Linked DNA regions of Macaca fascicularis. The protein of the gene in region 1 binds, or shares a complex with, the protein of each later gene. Links are inferred from orthologs where the notes say so. Each region holds a gene or a part of one and is shown on either strand. Other genes may lie near its edges.

The links.
Region 2: the proteins of TSEN34 (region 1) and TSEN15 are in contact, whole or in part, in a crystal structure (PDB 6Z9U), measured with the Homo sapiens proteins. The link is inferred for Macaca fascicularis from reciprocal best matches to the Homo sapiens genes TSEN34 and TSEN15. Residues at the interface, in NP_001070914.1 of Homo sapiens: Pro251, Leu252, Arg253, Phe254, His255, Ala256, His257, Tyr258, Pro265, Glu266, Asp267, Thr268, Ile269, Pro270, Leu271, Gln272, Leu274, Ser283, Val284, Arg285, Lys286, Thr287, Leu289, Leu290, Cys291, Ser292, Gln294, Val300, Tyr301, Thr302; in NP_443197.1 of Homo sapiens: Leu70, Lys74, Trp76, Thr108, Pro109, Ile110, Thr111, Ala112, Ser113, Leu114, Ser115, His116, Asn117, Ile119, Arg120, Leu123, Leu141, Ile143, Val151, Tyr152, Tyr153, Lys154, Leu155, Thr156, Asp157, Gly158, Phe159, Met160, Leu161, Pro162.

Annotation. Positions count from the first base shown.
Region 1 is NC_088393.1:61,997,593-62,001,868, forward strand, and holds the start of TSEN34 (tRNA-splicing endonuclease subunit Sen34), read left to right. Parts: upstream 1-1,474; 5' UTR 1,475-1,588; coding exon 1,589-1,593; exon of another isoform or gene 1,594-2,263; intron 2,264-2,568; coding exon 2,569-2,815; intron 2,816-3,122; coding exon 3,123-3,366; intron 3,367-3,517; coding exon 3,518-3,775; intron 3,776-4,276. UniProt on the Homo sapiens protein: Constitutes one of the two catalytic subunit of the tRNA-splicing endonuclease complex, a complex responsible for identification and cleavage of the splice sites in pre-tRNA. It cleaves pre-tRNA at the 5'- and 3'-splice sites to release the intron.
Region 2 is NC_088375.1:41,597,032-41,601,302, forward strand, and holds the start of TSEN15 (tRNA-splicing endonuclease subunit Sen15), read left to right. Parts: upstream 1-1,197; 5' UTR 1,198-1,231; coding exon 1,232-1,366; intron 1,367-3,863; coding exon 3,864-3,945; intron 3,946-4,240; coding exon 4,241-4,271. UniProt on the Homo sapiens protein: Non-catalytic subunit of the tRNA-splicing endonuclease complex, a complex responsible for identification and cleavage of the splice sites in pre-tRNA. It cleaves pre-tRNA at the 5' and 3' splice sites to release the intron.

The DNA.
Region 1 (4,276 bases):
CCCAGCACCCAGGCGCCTCCTTTGCGAAGGCAGAAATCAAAGTTACTCCCTGCACCCATACTAGGGACCCAGATTTGAAGACGCCCCTCTTTTTAAAACCCAGAAACAGCACCCCTCCCAGACCCTTCCTCTTCGACAGCCCAGGAATCTAGACCTCCGAGACCCCTCTTCCAGCGAGGATCCAGGAACCCAGACCCCCTCTTTGGATCCCCCATCCCCCAGCCCTTGTGAAACCAGATATCCGGACCCCCCAGCCCTTGTCCTTCGCGAGCACTCAGAGGAGCCCGGGCCTCCAGCCTCACCTCCTTCGGAGTTCCAGACCCCTCTCCTACGGAGAACCCGGGGATCGGACACCCTTCCCTCCCCAGGCCCAGGCCCAGCCCCAACCCGTCCCGCGCACCCCAGCGTGGGTCGGATCCAATCCCCGGCAGATCCACAGGCGGTTGCGCCAGCCCCGAGCTCTAACGCGCCTCCGGGGCCGCCCCGCACCCACCAGCCTGCAGAGACCCTGCAGCCGTGTAACCTCGCCTTGCCACTGGGCGCCGCCACCCCGGCCCACCTGAGCTGCTCGCCGGGCAGGAGGCGGCCGAGCAGTCCCAGCCCGCGGGCCGCTGCGGCTCCGGCCACGCCTCCCCCGCGCAGCGCGCCCCCGCGCCGCCTGCTCCTTCTGGGCGCCCGCTGGGCCGCGCGGATCGGGGCGGGGATGAGGCCACGGTCAGGGTCCCGGGCGGGCAGGGAAGGAGCCCCAGAGCAGGCGACTGGAGCGCGAGTCGACAACGGGACTCGAGTCCAGGTCCACACCGGGCTCCGAGCCCCGAGAACGTGAAGGGGCAGGGCTTCGGGCTCGGAACAAGGAGGAGCCAAAAGCTTTGGACCCGAAGGGAGACAGACGGGATCCGGAAAGGAGGCGGGGTCTGGAGCTCGGCGTGAGGGATGAGGCGCGGTCTCCGTTCGGGTTCCTTCGGGCACAATCGGGAGCTTGAGTTCACGGGAGGCGGGGCCACAAACTTCGGCTCACTTCGGAGATAGTCGAGAACGGAGCGCTGGGGCTACTGTGGGCGGGGCCACATGTTTCGGCTTTCTTCGGAGATAGTCGAGTCCTTAGTGTCACTGTTCCGATGTGGGCGGGACCACAGACTCGGCCGGATGTGGGTGGGGCCATATGCTTCGGTTTACTTCGTAGATAGTTGGGTACAAGGGACGCTAGGATGATAGGCGGAGTCAACAGGTTCGCGAGATGCTGATAAGGATTTACAAGGGGGCGGGGCGAAAGCGGCTTGCCCTCAAAGGGGCGGAACCCCGAGGGCCGGCGTGCGCCTAGGGCACGGGGCCAGGGTGACGAGCCTCAAGTTCCCAAGCTGAGGAGAGGAAGCGGCAGAGGGAGGTGCGCTCGGTGGGGCGGGGCCAAGGTGGTCACCGCAGGAGGAGGGCGGGGCTTCGAGCCTGCGAGGGGCGGGTCCTGACTCCCCCCGGCGCTGACGGGGCGGGATGACGAAGTTGACGAGAGGGTCGGCAAGAGCGGGTGGAGGAAGGAGCGCGTGGCGCGGTGCGTAGTGGGTGGCTCCGCCTCGACTGCGAGTTAGTGTTTATGAGGTGACTCGCTGGTTCTGTCGGTGGACCGTGGGACATTCTGAAGGGAAGCAAGGAGGCGGACTGAGCGCTCCCAAGTGGGGTGAGCCCGCCCGAGGGGAGAGCGGACGGCGGGTGCCCAGGGGGCGGGGCTTTCGGCTATGGGGTTCGGTCGTCGGGCGGGAACTCCCCATCGGGGGTGCGCTGGCGCTCGGAGGGGGCGGGGCCACAGCCTGCGGGACTGCCGGGAGCCGATGACGCCCGAACGCCGAACCTCAGGCGTCCGGCAGGAGGCGGGGCTACGGATTCGGCCGAGCCGAGAACACCCGAACGCCAAATTGCTCGCGTTCGAGAAGGGGGCGGGGCTGCGGATTCGGTGACGCCAAGGACGCCCGACCGCCGCAATTCTTGTGCTCTGAAGGGGGCAGGGTTTTGTACTGTTGGAGTCTGAGCGCTTGTAGACCCGAAAGCCGAATCACAGTGGTTCGGAAAGAGGAGGAGCCAAGGCCGGAGCGTCCCGAAGTGGGTGTGGCCTTGGCAGTGCCTTAGCCTCGAGAGCTTCTGACCCCTGAGGGGGGCACCCGAAGGGGGACGCCCACTTTGCAAGAGGGTGGTGCCAAAATGGACCTTTGTAAGGGGGCGTGTCGCCGCGCTTGGGGAGGTTTGTTTTTGAGACTCCAAGGCGCAATGGTAGGTACGGCAGTGTGGGCACAAAGCGGGTGCCGACTGCAGGGTCACAAGGGTAGAGCAGGGCCCCGGGGACGCGGCGAGGGGCGAGGGCTGCCGGTCGGTCTCCGGCGGCCGCGGGGCCTGGCGGGATCGCCCTGGGGTGGGGCCTGGCGCTCCGGCCCAGCAGGTGGTGAACGGCGGCTGAGCGAGGCCCCGCCCCCTGAGGACTAGGGGCGGGTCTTCGCCAAGACCCCGGAGGCTTTGGTTGTGCTCCGGTGGCCCGCGGCGCGCAGCCGTTTCGGTAACTGCTTTGCTTCCCGGCTCCCGCAGGAGGATGCTAGTGGTGGAGGTGGCGAACGGTCGCTCCCTGGTGTGGGGAGCCGAGGCGGTGCAGGCCCTCCGGGAGCGCCTGGGTGTGGGGGGCCGCACGGTAGGCGCCCTGCCCCGCGGGCCCCGCCAGAACTCGCGCCTGGGCCTCCCGCTGCTGCTGATGCCCGAAGAGGCGCGGCTCTTGGCCGAGATCGGCGCCGTGACTCTGGTTAGCGCCCCGCGCCCAGACCCTCAGCACCACAGCCTGGTAAGGGGGCGGGGCTCGAACGTCTGGGTTCGGTGGGAGCGGGACTTGGGAGTCAGGATTCCTGGTTTCCGAAGGGACCGTAAGCTTGGAGGTTCCAGCGACGTGTGCTTCTCAGGCCCTGACAGCCTTCAAGCGCCAGCAAGAGGAGAGCTTCCAGGAGCAGAGCGCCTTGGCGGGATCCCTGGTGGGATCATAAGGGGGCGGGGCCGGGACCCCTGGGTTCGGTGGGAGCCGGGCCTGGGAGTCAGGATTCCTGGCTTCCGAAGGGACCGTAAGCTTGGAGGTTCCAGCGACGTGTGCTTCTCAGGCCCTGACAGCCTTCAAGCGCCAGCAAGAGGAGAGCTTCCAGGAGCAGAGCGCCTTGGCAGCTGAGGCCCGGGAGACCCGTCGTCAGGAGCTCCTGGAGAAGATTACGGAGGGCCAGGCTGCCAAGAAGCAGAAACTAGAACAGGCTTCAGGGGCCAGCTCGAGCCATGAGGCTGGCTCGAGCCAGGCTGCCAAAGAGAACGAGACCAGTGATGGCCAGGCTTCGGGAGAGCAGGAGGAAGCCGGTGAGTATGGGAGGTGGAGTCCACGAACCACGGGAAGGAGAGGAGAGATCTTTTGGAAATTTTAGCTGGGAATCCAGTGCCTGGGTCTCCCTGAGGGTGAGAAGACTTTGCCCCTTGGATTTACCAAACTCTTCTCTGTACTCCCCACCAGGTCCCTCCTCTTCCCAAGCAGAGCCCTCAAATGGGGTAGCCCCCTTGCCCAGATCTGCTCTCCTTGTCCAGCTGGCCACTGCCAGGCCTCGACCTGTCAAGGCCAGGCCCCTGGACTGGCGTGTCCAGTCTAAAGACTGGCCCCACGCCGGCCGCCCTGCCCATGAGCTGCGCTACAGCATTTACAGAGATCTGTGGGAGAGAGGGTTCTTCCTCAGTGCGGCTGGCAAGTTCGGAGGTGACTTCCTGGTCTATCCTGGTGAGTTTGGGTTGGGGCCTCTGGTTGCTGTGCCTTTCCATACGATCCCAATGTATTCTGCGTTTTTTTTTCTTTCTTTTTTTTTTTTGTCTTAATAGAGATGGGGTCTCTATTGTTGCTCAGGCTGGTCCCGTTTCCTGGGCTCAAGCAGTCCTCCCACTTTGGCCTCCCAAAGTGCTGGGATTACAGGCCCAGCTGCATTTTTTTTTTTTTGTCTCACTTTCTCTTAGCCTCTGAAATTCATAGATGGACAGGAAACATTTTGGAGCTCCTGAACTCATTGGGAAAGCAGTTTAGCAACTTTTATTAAATGTTTACTATGATCCAGAAGATTCGCTTAGAAGTAGTTAGACATCAGGCTGGGCGCCATGGCTCACGCCTGTAATCCCAGCACTTTGGGAGGCTGAGACAGGTGGATCACCTGAGGTCAGGAGTTTGAGACCAGCCTGGCCAACATGGTGAAACCCCGTCTCTACTAAAAATACTAAAACTAGCTGGGTG
Region 2 (4,271 bases), on another chromosome or scaffold:
GTGGTTCAGGATCTCTCAGAGATGTGGGTTGACAGTTTGGGGATCCACTCTCTGACTCCTTCCTTGGGATTTCTTAATCTCTTCAGAATTCAAAATTTTCTGTCTTCACTTTTCTGCTTCCCCAGATAAGAATAACTGACAAGTTTTATACATGCACACTTGGTACTGCTGAGCCTGACTTCTGGACTGCACTTTGCCACAAGCTAAATGCCAAAGAGAAAGGAATTTTCTTGTGGAGTTCCTGATCTTCAAGTAAGCTTGCCCTTCCTACCAGTCTGCTGTTCACATTCCAGTATATTCAGCTTTTTGTATTGTGTTGAAGTGGAGTTCCTCATCTTCAAGCAAGCTTGCCCTTCCTATGAGTCCACTGTTCACATTCTAGTATATTCCGCTTTTTGCATTGTGTCCAAGTTGTTTTCTGCTGGAGGATGGTCCAGTAGGGTTTTAGTCTATCATGGTTGAAAACAGAAGTTATGTCCTGCCTGGGACTTTGGATTTTGAGTAACCCTTGTCCTGTTCAATGTGATCGCCTCCTAACCAGTCCGTTTGTGTCCTTGCTCCCTCCAGTCTATCCTTAACATATCAGTCTGAGTGATCCTATGAAAATATGACAGGAGCCTCCAATAGCTTCCCATTTCACTCACAGTAAATTTAAAAACACTTAAAATGTGCTACTCTGTCTGTCTGAAACTCATCCTTGGCTTCCAGATCACATGCTTATGCTAGTTTGTATCCTACCTTTCTGAACACTCATTCAGCAACTCGTGTTTCCTCTAATCCTGAAACGTGGGTCCACCCTGAAACTATGGTTCTACTTTAAAGTTCTATGTCAGGGCACTGAGTTAGGCTTTTCCCGTTCCCAGCAATCAGAAACCAGGACCCCACTGCTGAAGGCAAAGAGGACGTATGTATCCCCCAACTTTCTCAGAGAGTCATCGGCAGCACTGACTTAAAGAGGATTAAGAGCTTCTGGGCACAAGCTACTCTTTAATATTTTTCACGCTAGAATTTGTTCAGATTTGAATAAACGCAGTGCGAAACTAGAGAGCGTTCGCGCAGGTTCTAGCTACCTTGGTCAGAAGGAGGGGATGATGCAACTTTCCTCCCAGTTTCTGAGCCCTCTCGCGCGGCCGCTGCAAGCCTCGGGGAAGCGGAACCCACAGGCGCGTGCGCCGCTGCTTCTGGCCGGGCGCGGGTAGTGGTGCACCACGGGAGCGCCGCACCGGCCGGCATGGAGGAGCGCGGCGATTCCGAGCCGATCCCCGGCTGCAGCGGCCTGGGTCCGGGCGGCGTTCGCGGCTTTGGCGACGGCGGCGGAGCTCCCTCGTGGGCCCCCGAGGACGCCTGGATGGGCACCCACCCTAAGGTCAGGAGGCGCGAGAGGAGCAGGGCGCCGTCCAGGCCCCTAACCCAGGCAGAACTCCCAGGCAGCTGTCTTTCTTTCTCCCTCAGCGGGAGAGCTGAGGACGCGCGCCCCCCTTACCGAGGGGGACCGGTGTGCACAACTGCCAGCCTCAGGCAGCATCGGTTTTGTTTGTTTAAACAAGTTGCACTATCCCCCGACACTTTCCCAACCCCCCAGCCAAAGCCATTCTGGAACTGAGAGCCAGACAGTAACTCCGCCCCCCTCAAGCCGGAGATCCCTAATAAGCGCTCCACAGGTTTTGCTGTCTAGGTAAATCCCCTTTGGGGGATAAATTTATTTAATCCTCACAGTAACCATGCAAGACAATTTGTGGGCGATGGGTAAGGTCTGCGGGTCCATAATGATAAAGATTTAGGCACAGTCACGTTTACACTTAGCCTTGGGCCCAGAGTGCATCTTTATTTTGCAAAGGTGCAGATTCTTAGTATTTCAGATTTCTTCGAAAGTTTGAATAGGTTCTTGCTCAATGCAGAGCTACTCACATTTTGCGTGTCTTTTTCTACATTAGCAGCAAGCGAGATAAAGATAGTCCCCTGCTTGCTTCTGCTTGAGACATTACTGCCTTGTACCAGTAAGGTTCCAAGCAGTGAACAGGCAGTGAATGGAGATGTGGGTTTTGTAAGAATCTCAAAAACTGGTCTGTACGGTACTTTAACAGAATTGCGCTCTTCTGCTAGAGAGCAATAATTCGTAATCATCTAAAAGCAGCCAAGAAAAAATTTAAAGGTGTAAGTTTGAAGAGTTAACCTTTTTCAGCTTCTCTTGCTTAATTTTATCTTCCTACTCTGTCCCCTTCATCCTCCCAAAAGGTGAGAAAAAGAAACAATAGCATGGAAATATTATTTAGTGCCCTTTTAGGGAAACAATAACATGCAGAGGCAGCATATTGGTTAGGAGCGTGAACTCAAAATCAGACTCAGTTTAAATCCTGATTCTGTCACGTATCAACCTTGTAATTTGACACAAATTGCTTGATCTCATTATGCCTTAGTTTCCTCACCTGAAAAATGGGGATATTAATAGTCCATACTTATAGGTTTGTTACAGGATTAAATTAATTAATATTTGTAAGACATTCAACATACAGAGAGCACTATATAAGTACTTAATAAATGAAACACCAGTAACAACTTTTTAAAACCTTATCTAGATTTGGTGTTGTTATTCGGTTTATATACTTGTAGATTGTTTTCTTTTTCAAGTTAATGGCTGTGTGCACCCTGACCATCAAATCTCCCCTTTTGATTTCTCTTCTTGAAGGATCAGATTAATTTTTAGAAGAAAAAGAAAAGAAGTAATAAAGCAATAGGGGCTGTTTGTTTTTCCAATTTCACCTTTCTCTTAATTTGAAAATTATGTAGGTTCATCCAGTAAAATGGTATCAGACTTATTATCCTCTAACACACTTTTATTTTATTATTCTCCTGCTTAGAAATCCTCAGTGTTTCCATACTGATAAAATCACACGTATAGCTTGACCACCAAGGCCTTGTAACCTGGCTCAAAATTGTTTTGGGTGTTATTTTCAAAACATGTTTGAAGTAGACAACTAATAACCCTTATCCTCCTGTAACTGTATCGTCCAGTTACACGGAAGCTGATGGGAGAATGTGACTTTAGACCTGTCCCCATGCAGGTCTGCTAATAATTCAACTCAGCATTAGCCCTGCATATCCACCTAGTCACTGGCATAGCTGGGCAGCCTCAGAATTCTCCTGCAGGTGTAGACCCCTGGAAAGTGTTCCCCTTATGCTGACCAGTAGTCTGAAAGAAGCAGCTTTCTCTAGTTCCTTGTCAATCCCTTTTAAAAAATCTAATGATGAAATAATTCCCTACTCTTAAAGTAAGAAAGAGTGGGTAGAGAGGTTAGGACTGATACTCTAGCAGATTCTCTCCATATGCAAATAAGAGGCTAGGGAAATACACAGTACCCACCAACATGTCCCGACACAAATTTTATTAAAAAGGTTTCTCTATTGCTGGCAGATAGGTTTCTTTACAGGCCCTTGAATGTGTGTGGCTTAATCCCACCTTTGTGTGATTACCTGCCCTATTACTCTACGTCTCCATTTACTTAAATCATAATGTTCTTCAGTGCTTAACTTGTATCCCATCCCACCTCTGCTATAAATCTTTCACCAGTCCCTCTGAGTAGAGCTCTTCTGACCTGCTGTGTCATGTTTTTTATTCCGTTTACCTGGTTTTTAATCACTTACAGTCATATATTGTTATTTGCCTAACAATTTTAAGTGTGCATGTATTTAACAGTTGCAAGTTCTTTAGAGACAGCGATCTCTAAGACCTTATATTGCATTTTAACTTCCACTATACCTAGAAGAATTTTATAGATTATATATACTTAATGACTACTTGTTGATTGAAAGAAAATATTAAATAATTTTTCCTTCTCAATTTGACAATTATATTTTATTTTCAGTATTTAGAAATGATGGAATTAGATATAGGAGATGCCACTCAAGTTTATATAGCATTCTTGGTTTACCTGGACCTCATGGAAAGTAAGTTGTTTGTTTATATTGTTTTGTTATTGGGACTGTGGTAGGGATTTGGGGGGTTGGATTGGGATATAGCATTCTTAACATTATAATAAGCAATCTTTTATGCATTTGCTGTTAATTTTGCAATTTATTTATTTACATTGGGAATTATTGAGTAACAGAAGCTATTAGAAAAGCAAAGATAGGAGGTAGTGTTATGAGTGATATTTGCTCAGCTGAGTATTAGGTAGAAGTTTGGAGTTTTTATCTTTTGTATTTAATAAACATTATTGTCCATTCAATGATGTTCTTTCAGGCAAAAGCTGGCATGAAGTAAACTGTGTAGG